Rattus norvegicus: one gene and its partner. The protein of the gene in region 1 interacts with the protein of each later gene in a biochemical or structural test. Links are inferred from orthologs where the notes say so. Each region holds a gene or a part of one and is shown on either strand. Other genes may lie near its edges.

Evidence for each region.
Region 2: of the proteins of Lck (region 1) and Ptpn22, one has a biochemical effect on the other in vitro, tested with the Homo sapiens proteins (3 studies listed by IntAct, with this or other methods). The link is inferred for Rattus norvegicus from reciprocal best matches to the Homo sapiens genes LCK and PTPN22.

The regions. Positions count from the first base shown.
Region 1 is NC_086023.1:147,179,744-147,184,971, forward strand, and holds part of Lck (proto-oncogene tyrosine-protein kinase LCK), read right to left. Parts: intron 3,929-5,228; exon of another isoform or gene 3,819-3,928; coding exon of another isoform or gene 3,791-3,818; exon of another isoform or gene 3,694-3,790; coding exon of another isoform or gene 3,689-3,693; coding exon 3,584-3,688; intron 2,871-3,583; coding exon 2,789-2,870; intron 2,616-2,788; coding exon 2,525-2,615; intron 2,260-2,524; coding exon 2,161-2,259; intron 1,866-2,160; coding exon 1,762-1,865; intron 1,555-1,761; coding exon 1,405-1,554; intron 1,150-1,404; exon of another isoform or gene 1,129-1,149; coding exon 976-1,128; exon of another isoform or gene 838-975; coding exon 658-837; exon of another isoform or gene 1-657. UniProt on the Homo sapiens protein: Non-receptor tyrosine-protein kinase that plays an essential role in the selection and maturation of developing T-cells in the thymus and in the function of mature T-cells. Plays a key role in T-cell antigen receptor (TCR)-linked signal transduction pathways.
Region 2 is NC_086020.1:194,052,997-194,058,858, reverse strand, and holds the start of Ptpn22 (tyrosine-protein phosphatase non-receptor type 22), read right to left. Parts: upstream 3,616-5,862; 5' UTR 3,504-3,615; coding exon 3,417-3,503; intron 1-3,416. UniProt on the Homo sapiens protein: Acts as a negative regulator of T-cell receptor (TCR) signaling by direct dephosphorylation of the Src family kinases LCK and FYN, ITAMs of the TCRz/CD3 complex, as well as ZAP70, VAV, VCP and other key signaling molecules.

The DNA of each region.
Region 1 (5,228 bases):
TACAGTTGTCCTCTATAACTTTCAAGAGTCAGCTCTTTCCCTCTATCATGTGGATTCCATGCATTGAACTCCTGTTTGTCAGGCTTGACAGCAAGCACCTTTATCTGACGAGCCATCTTGCTGGCCCTAAACCCACTATTTTACAGATTAAAAAGAACTATTTGCAGCAGAAAGCAATGATGTGATCAGCCCAAAGCCATACAAGATTATAAAGCCTCAACTCTATCCGGGCAGTCAGACTCTTGGATCCTTCACAAACATACTACATGTTGGGGCTAGAAGGTGGCTCAGTGTTTGAGGAGAGCACTGGCTGTCCCTCCAGAGGACCTGGGTTTGATCTCCAGTAGCTCACCACTGTCTGTAACTCCAGGGTATCCCACACCCTTTTCTGGTCTCTTCAGGCACCAGGCACCGCACACTATTTCTTGGGTCAAGCATTCTGGGATCCAGGTGGGCATTGGCAGAAGGCAACAGAAACTGCACATCAGGGACTATCAGAATTAGAACTGATAGATCAGAGGCCTAGGGGCCCAGGAAAGCGTCCTTAGAAACCTTCAGTGGCAGGCCAGAGAAAAAAAGCACATTCCTAGCCTGGGTGCAAAAGGCAGTGAGGCCACAATAGCGCCCTCAAGCGGCTGGACATGGAAGCATACCCACCGTTCTCCATGTATTCTGTGATAATGTAGATGGGCTCCTGGGTGACCACTGCATAAAGCCGGACGAGCCGCGGGTGCTGCAGCTGCTTCATGAGGTTAGCCTCTGCCAGGAAGGCATCAGGAGACATACTCCCTTGCTTCAGACTTTTCACTGCCACCTTCGTGTGTCCATTGTAGTATCCTGGGAGACGGGATACGGGTAGAGGAGTTACAGAGGTCAAGATCCTGACGAACCAGGCAGCCGCCCTGAATAGGCCAGTGTGAGAGGAAGCTCACACTTCCTCCCCTCTTTCCAATCAGTACAGAGAGCCACACTCACCCATCCACACTTCCCCGAACTGGCCAGCTCCCAGCCGCTCAACCAACTTCAATGTCTCTCTGGGAACTTCCCATTCGTCCTCCCACCATGGTTTCTGGGGCTTCTGGGTCTGGCAAGGACGGCTCAATTTTGTGCACAGCCCATCAGAGGCGTCTGCATGGACAAAGGAGAAGGGTAAGGCGGTCACTAGAGACCTTGGATGCTCCCTTCAGCTCCTACCTCTCTCCACTTTATTCGTAGGGATAACAGACTGACATGGGAGGGGAGACGTGTGGGTCATCCAACATTAGCCTGCAGGGTCCAGGGTCAGGTACTATACCCCTCATCCATTGAAGGGGAAAGAAAGATGCTTGGAGGGTCTCTAAGAAGGACTGGGGGTAGATAGGCTGCTAGGAAAGGCACAGGTGAACGCATTCCGCCAGAGCTCACTGGTGTAATGGCGGACCAGATCGTGTAGTCCGGGAAAAGTGATACGAGGGGAGATGTAGAAGCCACCGTTGTCTAGGTTACGGATCTTGTAATGTTTCACCACTTCTCCCTGGTTCTGGTCGAAGTCTCTGACTGACAGTGAAAAGGATCCTGAAGAAAGATTGGAGAGGGTAGGAGGAAAGAGATTAGTTGAAAAGGGAAAAGAAAAAGAGGCGGATTGCCTTCCATAAATCAGGTGGCCACCGCACCCGTTTCCTCCTGCTCTTCACCCCCCGCCCATCTCCTCGCCCGCAGGCGTCCGCCCTCACCTCACAGCCCCGCCCACACCGAGGCTCCGCCCACCAGGCTCTCTCTCACCGGCGGTGCTTTCGCTTTCCCGGATCAGGAAGGATCCATGCGTGTTCCCGGGCGCCAAAAGCTGCCGCTCGGCGTCCTTACGGCTCAGATTTTTGAAGAACCAACTGTGTAAAGCAGACGCAAGACCATCGGCTGTTGGTCTATTTCTTTCTTTTTTGTTTTGTGCAGCCCTGGCTGTCCTTAAACTCCCTCTGTAGACCAGACTGGCCTTAACTCAGGGATTCGCTTACCCCTCCCTCCGAAGTGCTCGGATTAAAAGCCTGTGCCACCTTTGTCCAATTCTTCCTCCATCCCAGTCAAACTTCCCCCCACTCCCTGGACCACGCCCTGTTCTGAGATCCCTGGATGTGCCTCCCCTACTCCCCACCCCTCCCATCCCCACAGAGGTCTCCTGCTCACGGTTCAGGCTCCAGGCTGTTTGCTTTCGCCACGAAGTTGAAGGGGATGAAGCCTTCTTGGCCAGTGGTCAGGGACTGAGCCTTCCACCACTCACCGCTCCTGCACCACAGAGACCATCATCACGGTGTACAGAGCCACTGGAAACCCCTCAGAGTCCCCAGTTAGACTAGGCCATCACTCCCCCGTATCAAGCACTCTGGAGATTTCTACCTCATTCCAAAAGCCCTCTGCTGTGGCCAGAGCCAGTCAGGGGTGCAGGAGGGCTGAGGACACACACACACACACAAACACACACACACACACACACACACACACACACACACACACACACACACACGGCAAGGTAGGTTAGAGGTATACTCACTGCTCCAGGATTCGGAGCTGTTCACCCTTTTCAAAGCCCAAGTCTCCATCATGGGAGGGCTCATAGCTGTGCAGGGCAATAACTAGGTTGTCTGTAAAGAGAGAAGGAGTCAAGAGGACCCAGCCTGGGGCTGACAGGAACAGTGACGTTCTAGAGACACAGGATGCAGACTAAGTGGAGAGATGGGGAAGAGGGTATGGACAGGAACGGGCAAGCCTCCACAGTCTGCTGTTATTATGTTTCACACGCTGTGGATGGAGTCACCTTGCAGCGGGGAGGCTGGTGGGAGGGAGCCCTCATAGGTGACCAGTGGGTCCCGAACTTCAGAGCCGGTCCGGATGGGCAGCTGTGGGGTAGGAAATGAGGCTGGGATCAGAGAAAAAAAACTGGATCTGACCCTGGTTCCCCTCCCCTCTATACTCTTTCTATTTCTCCAGTCTGGCTGGACCTTGCCTCTGAATTCACCAACTGTGTGCGTGTGTGTGTGTGTGTGTGTGTGTGTGTGTGTGTGTGTGTGCGCGCGCGCGCGCGCGCGCGTGCACATTTGACTTTAGGAAGGTCCATTCCTCTATGTGGACCTCTTCTGTGATGCACTCCAGAGAAGATGGGAATGCTGCTATTTCCAGAGCCTTTAGTTGTGATCCGTTTATTTATTTTTTCCCCCTGGATACACAATGTTTCCTCCATGCCATCCCTTTACCAATCCTAAACCCCCCACACCAGCCCTTTACCAATCCTACCCCCATTCCTTCACCAATTCTATCCCCCACCTGCCCATCCCTTCACCACTCCTCTCTCCTCCCATCCCTTCACCAATCCTATCTCCCCTCATCCCTTCACTAATCCTATCTGCCCTCCCACCCCAGCCCTTCACCAATCCGATCCCCCAACCCCCACCCCTTCACCAATCCTATCCCCCATCCCTTCACCAATCCCATCCCTCCCAGCCCCCATCCCTTCATAACTCCTATCCCCCCCATCCCTTCACCAATCCTATCTCCCCCCTCCCTTCACCACTCCTATCCCCCCATCCCTTCACCAATCCCATCTTCCTCTTACCGTACTCTTGCTGTCCAGTGGGACTATGGGATAGTGGCAGTTTTCACACACGTCAATGTTCTCCATCCAGTCATCTTCGGGGTTTGAGCTGCAGACACAGCCCATGATCCCTGAAGGAATGTAGAGAGGCCTGAAGGAGCTCCCCCTAAGCCAGTTCCCCCAACATCAGACATCCTAGAGCACAGCCCAGGAAACTACAAAAACTACCTGAGATTGTCAGCTCAGAGGCCCCCATTGGCCGTAGACAGAAGAGCTGAAAAGTGGAATTCTAGTTTCCCACTGGGTTTACTCCGAGCCCTCAAGCAACGAGTTCACAGGAGGCTCAGGCCCAAGGCTGGTCCCCACCCTCCCACCTGGGAAGGGCAAACCGCCGTCTTTGTTAGTCTAGTTACCCACTTCCTGCCCTCCTCAGCTCTGCTAGTCCCCAATTGGGGGACTACCTGGGAGACATCACACACACACACACACACACTTTGCCAAGCTCTGGGGGAAACCTAGATTTTCATTCCACTCACCTCTACCATGAAGGGTGTCTGTCCCTTCTCAGTACAAGTCCCCTGCCTAGCTACTGAAGCTGAGAGGTTCCAACTCCTTACAGTCAACCTTCAGCTCATCACCCCCACCCCCACTCACAACCACAGTCCCCTTCAGAGGGTTTCTTCAGACAAGCTTTTGAGCAGCAGAAGGAAAACTGTTGGTGGCCTCGTTGGCTGTAATTGCGTTGCTCACTTGCCTGGTTTAGCTGTGGAAACTTTTCGTCAAGTGAAATCAAGCAGAACCTCATAGACACAGCAAGTCACAGCAGGGCTCCCTCCGAAGCCTCTGGAATCCCCATGTCCCTCCTTCCTGAGCACTGGTCCTCAACAAACGGTTTACCACGAGAAGATTAAGTTTTGTTTTAGTTCTTTAGCTGAGGTCTTACTACGTAGCCTCAGCTGACCCTGAGGCCTAAAACTCGTTTTATAGACCAGGCTGGCCTCAAACTTGCAGACATCTGCCTGTCTCTGAGTGTTAGGACTAATAAAGGGCTACACTGTCATGTTTTTGTTGTCAAGAAGACCCGGGGCTGGGGATTTAGCTCAGTGGTAGAGCGCTTGCCTAGCGAGCGCAAGGCCCTGGGTTCGGTCCCCAGCTCTGAAAAAAAGAAAAAAGAGGGGAAAAAAAAAAAAGACCTAGTCCCTCTCTCAGTACTGCAGTCTATTATGGTATATACCACACAAACAGACACACACGCGCACACACCACACACACACACACACACACACACACACACACACATGCAACTTGTACTTTGAACTACTTTGTTTTCACCACTCACCCACCATTATTGTCCTTAGACCACGCCATTGTGTTTCTGACTCTGTTTTTGTTTTTACTTTTTAGTGTATGTGTGTGTGTGCTACAGCTCAGGTGTGGAGGTAGGAAGACAATTTCAGGAACAGGTTCGCTCCTTCCACAACCTGGGTGTCTGGGGATTGAACTCAGATTGGTAGGCTCAGCGGAGGGCGAGAACGCCTCATCAGATGCGCCATTTTGCCTACCCTGTGTTTGTGACTCTCACACCCACCCGCTACCCTCTAACTCCATCTGTAAGTTTGCGCTCAAATGTCACATTGTGCCTCTCGGGCTCCTGCCCCATTTTCCT
Region 2 (5,862 bases), on another chromosome or scaffold:
TTTAAATTTTTTCCAAAAGTTTAAAGCATTAAGGCCAGTTGATCAAATAGAGGCAGGAGGCGACAAGTAACAAGGGCAGGGGTTGTGATACTAGCTGGTGTATTGTTTGAACTTTTAGTTCTATGACTGTGAGCTGTGTGGCTTTCTTTTTTGTGAGTGTGCGGTGCTAGAGAGTTGAGTTCGGGGCCTCGAGTGTGCTAGTCAGGCACTGATATATGTCCTCTGACCTCCATGCATGAGCCATGGCATACATACCTTACCCCCTACTGACTAAACAGATGCATAAGTGTAATTTAGAACATTCTGAAGGGAACTCAATCTCCCAAGGTGTTCTCTGACTTTCACACTCTCGCTGTGGCACCTACATGTGTGTGAACACACACACACACACACACACACACACACACACGCACATTTAAAAATATAAAAATAAAGAAAGGTCTGGAAAGATGGTTCAGTAGATGGCTCACTTGCTGCTTAAAGCTGAGGTCCTAGACTCAGTTCGCAGCATCCACCCAGTGATTCACAACACCAGTTCCAAGGCATCCAGCTCCATCTTCTGGCCTCCACTAACTCCATGCTATACACATGCAGGCAAAACAATACGTATATACACACAAAATGCAAATCTGTCTTTAAGGGAGCATAGTACGCTTGGTGGCACGTGCCTTTAATTCTGTCACATAGGAGGCAGAGGCAGGCAGATTTCTGAGAGTTTGAAGCCAGCCTAGTCTACAGAGTGAGTTCCAGGGCAGCCAGAGCCACATAATGAAAACTCAACAACAACAAAAGTCAGGACAGGAAATCTACATTTAAGTGTAAATGCTGTATGGTAATTGCCACTAAGGCAGTTACCAGTGCCCTTACGTCACAGAATTCATTCTGAAATCTCATACACACAAGGGCTTCAAGTAGACTGGAGGCAGAAGTCAAGTGGGAACCTTCCAGTGGGATGGCGGCATTTCCCTGGCCAATAGCTCCTCTCTCTGAAAGCTATTTTTCTTGTGTCTCAGTTGAGCCTTTAGGTGGGGCTTTAGGGTAAAACTCTTTGTTTTTTCCACTGGAGGACATGAGTCAGTGAACAGTGAGGTTCCACTTAATCACCTCCCCAAAAGAAGGTTCTCAAACATAAGGAACTAGAAGGGCAAGGAAATGATTAGTATAAAACCAGGACAGTGATTTACCCTTGAGTCGGGTGGGGTGAGGGTGAGGTGGGTGGAGAAGCCATCTGTAGAAGGGACAGTCGGGAATCTCTCGGAGTTAGACAGTACTGCAATTATTTTTAATCTGGGCAGTGACTACATTGGCAATGGTTCCTTTATAACTTCATTCACACATTTCATGTAGTTTTCTAAATATATATCGTAGTTCACAATTACAAGCAGCTAGAAAATACAAGCTATAAAAGGTTCTTTTAAGCTGAGACCAATATAACCGGATTTATGTTATTAAAAAAACCACTTTGGAGCCTGGCGTGGTGGTGTACCCCTTTAATCTCAGCACTCAGGAGGCAACAGTAGGTGGATCTCTGAGTTCAAGGCTAGTCTGGTCGGCATAGTGTGTTCCAGACCAGCTCTGACTACATAGTGAGACCTTGTCTAAGAAATTAACTAAGGTGGGACAAGGCTAGAAAGAGAGGCAGGAGGTAGCTGCCGGTTTGGTAAGAAACTATCATGACATCTACAAGTGGTTAAAATATTAGAGATATAGTCTGCTCTGTTTTGAAAAATACAATCAAAATAAGACAAAGCGGGCACTGCCTCTCAGCTCCCGTTCCCCTCTGTATCTTATAAATTGTCACAAGAATGTCTCAATAATACAGTAAACAGGCATGTTTGTATCTAAGCAGACACATTGGCAACTCTACCCTGTGGCTAATCTAACCTGAGAACTTGTGGCAGAAAGAAAAGATTTTAATGACACCATGACCTTATGCAAGTTGAGCTGGCATAACATTTTAGCATCGAAGTTGAACCACTATACACTAGCCTGCTGTGATATCTAATCACACTATCTGTTCAGTGAAAGCATCTCGTCTAATTTATCTGGTGCTGGAACGTTAGCGCTGGAAAGCAAAGACATTTTGTTTACTATTGTATCTTAGCGTGAAGAAACAAAGTTGGTACACAGTAAGTGCTCAGTAAATATTATGGAATGATCCCTTTTTTGAGACAAGTCCCTCTAAGCTGCCTGGGCTAGCCTTGAACTCAAGATTTAACCCACCTCAGCTTTCCAAGTAAATGGGTCTCTAGGCGTCTCCATAGTACTCATTTAATTATTATAATTATTGATATGTAATCATCACAACAATCCAAAATGAGGGTAGATAGGACATAAATTATTATCCTTATTTTTTAAAAGCTAGAAAACAAAGATTTAGGATGATTTGGGAACATGTTAAATACTTGATATTTGGATGATGGCCAAGTCAATTTGCTTCATTTTTCTCAATTCAAGGCTGAAGGGCTAAGGCTTAACATTCTTATAGTTCTGAAATACCAATTAGAAGCATTTTAAAACACAAAAGGCCGGTGTGGTAGATGCCTTTGATCCCAGCATTCTGAGGCAGAGGCAGGAGGATCTTTGAGTTCAAGGCCAAACCTAATCTACATAGTGATTTGTAAGCCGGGCAGAGCTAGGTACCGATACAAACAAACAAAACAAGCAAACCCAAAAACCAAAAGCACGACTGGTATGCCAGTCATCATGCTATCCCGCACGCCTGACTTGGACGGAGCATGGCCTACCCAGCTTCATTGCACTGTCAACTATGGCTCCCTCCAAGTGGATTCATTGTTCTGGGTAATCAAGTCCTCCTGCTCCCAGGCTGCCTTGCTCTCCGTGTCCCTCACTCCTCTCTACTCCCTACTCTACCCAGTCCACTTCTCCAGACAGTATACGTTAAAGAAACCCAGTTACTGTAAAAAAGGAAAATGCCCGTTCTGATAATCAACTTGTTACAAAAGGGAAAGGAGGAAAAGTGGCAAAGGATAGTTTGGGTGATTTTTCAAAAGCCTGTTATACCAACGATATCCTACCAGGAAGCTAAAAATAACACTTAACATGAAAAGTTACTCTTTCTTTTTAGTATCAATTAAAATTAGTAATTTGAAGCATAAATCACAATGCAAATGCTTTCTCCAGATGCTCAGAAAGCATGAATACTCATATATCTGTCTGGACCTTCTATAGGATTGTTACACTCAAAGAACACGCAAACCCCGCATTAACACCAGCATACCTGGAGAAAACCCTGAACACACAGATACAACAAAACCCAGAGAGGTTATGTCTTTAGTTCACCTTCCTCCCTTCTGTGTTCATGTTGTCTCTCCAGCAACTGAGTCTAGGCAAGCTCCATCCCAGCAGACTGTTACAGTTTATCCAACTGCTCTTAAGAGCATTACAGAACTCACCAGAAATTCATTGGCAAACTCCTCCCTGTTAATTTTCTTTTTCTGGGCCTCTTTCAGTAGCTGCTGCAGAATTTCTCTTTGGTCCATGCCGTAGAGCAAGAGTCTGTGAGTGGGTTAAGGGAGGGCATGTCAAATATGTGTCATGGCCAAGACACCACCAAGAAGCCACCACTGCTGCATGAGCCGGGCGTGCTGGAGGCTGTGGTTAACTGACTTCATCACAAGCCCTAGAGGAAATTAGTACAAAACTAGCTTCTGTGGTCACACAACAAAGCCATCCTCTCCCTGCAGGGCCCTAGCGCCTTCCTTTCTCAACAAAGAAACTTGGCTACTGTTCAAATGTAACAAACAAGAGGCTAACCAGAACACAAACTGTGGTCTGCTTAGCTCAGAGTCTGTTCCACTCTGTCACTCAGACAGCTCTCAGCTCTCCTTCGATTCCCAGAGGAGAGGCAGAAAGTACAGTTCCAACCTGGGAGTTCGGCCTTCCACGTTCCCCCAGTGAGCAAAGGCCTGGGTGACACCCGTGCCTTGTTGCTGGAAAGGAGACAGACTCTGGAGTTACCTATCTTCTACCTGGACGATTATCCCCAAAGTCTCTGGTAGATATGATCATGGCAGACCTCTTGCTTATCAAGTGGGCATTTTTATTTCAGAACTTGTCGAGCCTCCATTATAAACCTCACATTTTCTTTTAGAGGAAGCAAAGTCCACTGCTTCTGACAGGTCGTCTCACCCATGTCTGGGGAAGTAAGTACTGGCCTCCATTAAGGGAAGTGTTGGTCTCTGTACCTCTTCAGACCTCCAGTAGCTTTGTAAACATAGAGAGCACTGCTTTCGGTAGGATGGGAAGCACCCGGCAGGCAGTTAGCACAGTACCCCCAGAACGCACTGCAAGTAAACAGCGAAGGAACAAAAACTAACTAAAGCTAAAATCTACCTTGCTGAGAATCTACAGTTTCTAGGCCAGCCTGCCTCGAGAGAATTGAGGAGAGCGGTGCAGTCTGGAGTCCCAGCTACTCAGGACTGTCTCAGCTGCAGGGGCACTTGAGTCTAGGAGTTTGAGATACCAGGGAAACAAAGGGATCTCTCTCTCTCTCTCTCTCTCTCTCTCTCTCTCTCTCCGAAACTGAAGAGGGAAAGAGAGGGGAGGAAGAATGAAAGAAAGAGAGAAAGCCTTTTTGACATTTTGATCCTACAGCCCCTGTCTTGGAAAAGACCCCGTTTCAGGGAGCCATCCATATTTGTGGCATTTGTGCCTTGACAAGGCAGGTTGTTCCAGAGAGCGCTTCCACATCTCGGTTTGCATAAATCCTCTCCTCAATGGTTGCATATCAACCCACCCAAGATCTGATTCAGTGTGAAAATGCCCGCAAATGAGGAAGTTGAACAAACGATATGTTACAAAATTAGTTTCAAGTTTAAAAAAAAAAAAAAAAACCTGGGAAAGGTGTAGTTTGGATACAAACTTCCTCTGTTTAAGATATTAGCAATCCTTTCTGGTATTGCACTATTCAAACTCCCTTCAGAAAATCATGATTTTGAACACAAAACGCACTGTACCCTCTTCATTGAGCCCTTGGTAGGCAACTTGAAGTTAATATTCCACATAAAGAATTTCAATTGTGGTTCACATAAATTAAAATTAACCATAATTCTCTAGCAATATTTCCTGAGAATAAAACAATATCTCTGAGATTATCCTCATCTAGCATTAAAAGGAAATGTATTGCTACTGTAAATAATGCAATATCTGACTATTTTAAAACATACAAAATATGGGGAAACTTTATTTTTAAAAAGAATACAACATTCTTCAGGGCATACTGGCATATATGTGTAACACTAGCACTCAGGAGGCTAAGATAGGAGAATTGCTACAAATTCCAGGCCTATCTGGGCTACATACCAAAACAATCTCAAAAATAAAATAAAATACTTTAAAAATCCTAAGTTAACTATAAATAAAATTATATAAAAATATGAAATTTAAGCCAGACTCAGGAAGGCAAGTTTTACATGTTTTTGTTCCTCAAACAGGGAATCTAGGTTTAAATGTGTGTGTGTGTGTGTGTGTGTATGTGTGTGTGTGTGTGATGAAACTAGAAAGAGGAACACTGTTATCATATATTAGTCACACATAATGGATTACATGACATTTTCATATTGTAGTTAATGCATTCTGACCACACTCTCTACACATTCGGCCTGTCCTCCCTTGGCCCTCCTCACACTTAACTCCTCTCCTCTTTCCAACTATCTCTCTCCTGCCCTCCATTTTCATGTCCTTTTTAGTTTTCAGTCCCAGTGAGCTTCATTAGGGTTGTTTAGGGGAGCATGCTTCCCAGAGTCTGCATACTGAAGACAATGTCTCTCCCTTCCCTACCAACCATTAACTGCATAGAAGTCTTCAGGCTGGGGTGGGGCTGCACGAATCCCTTGCCCT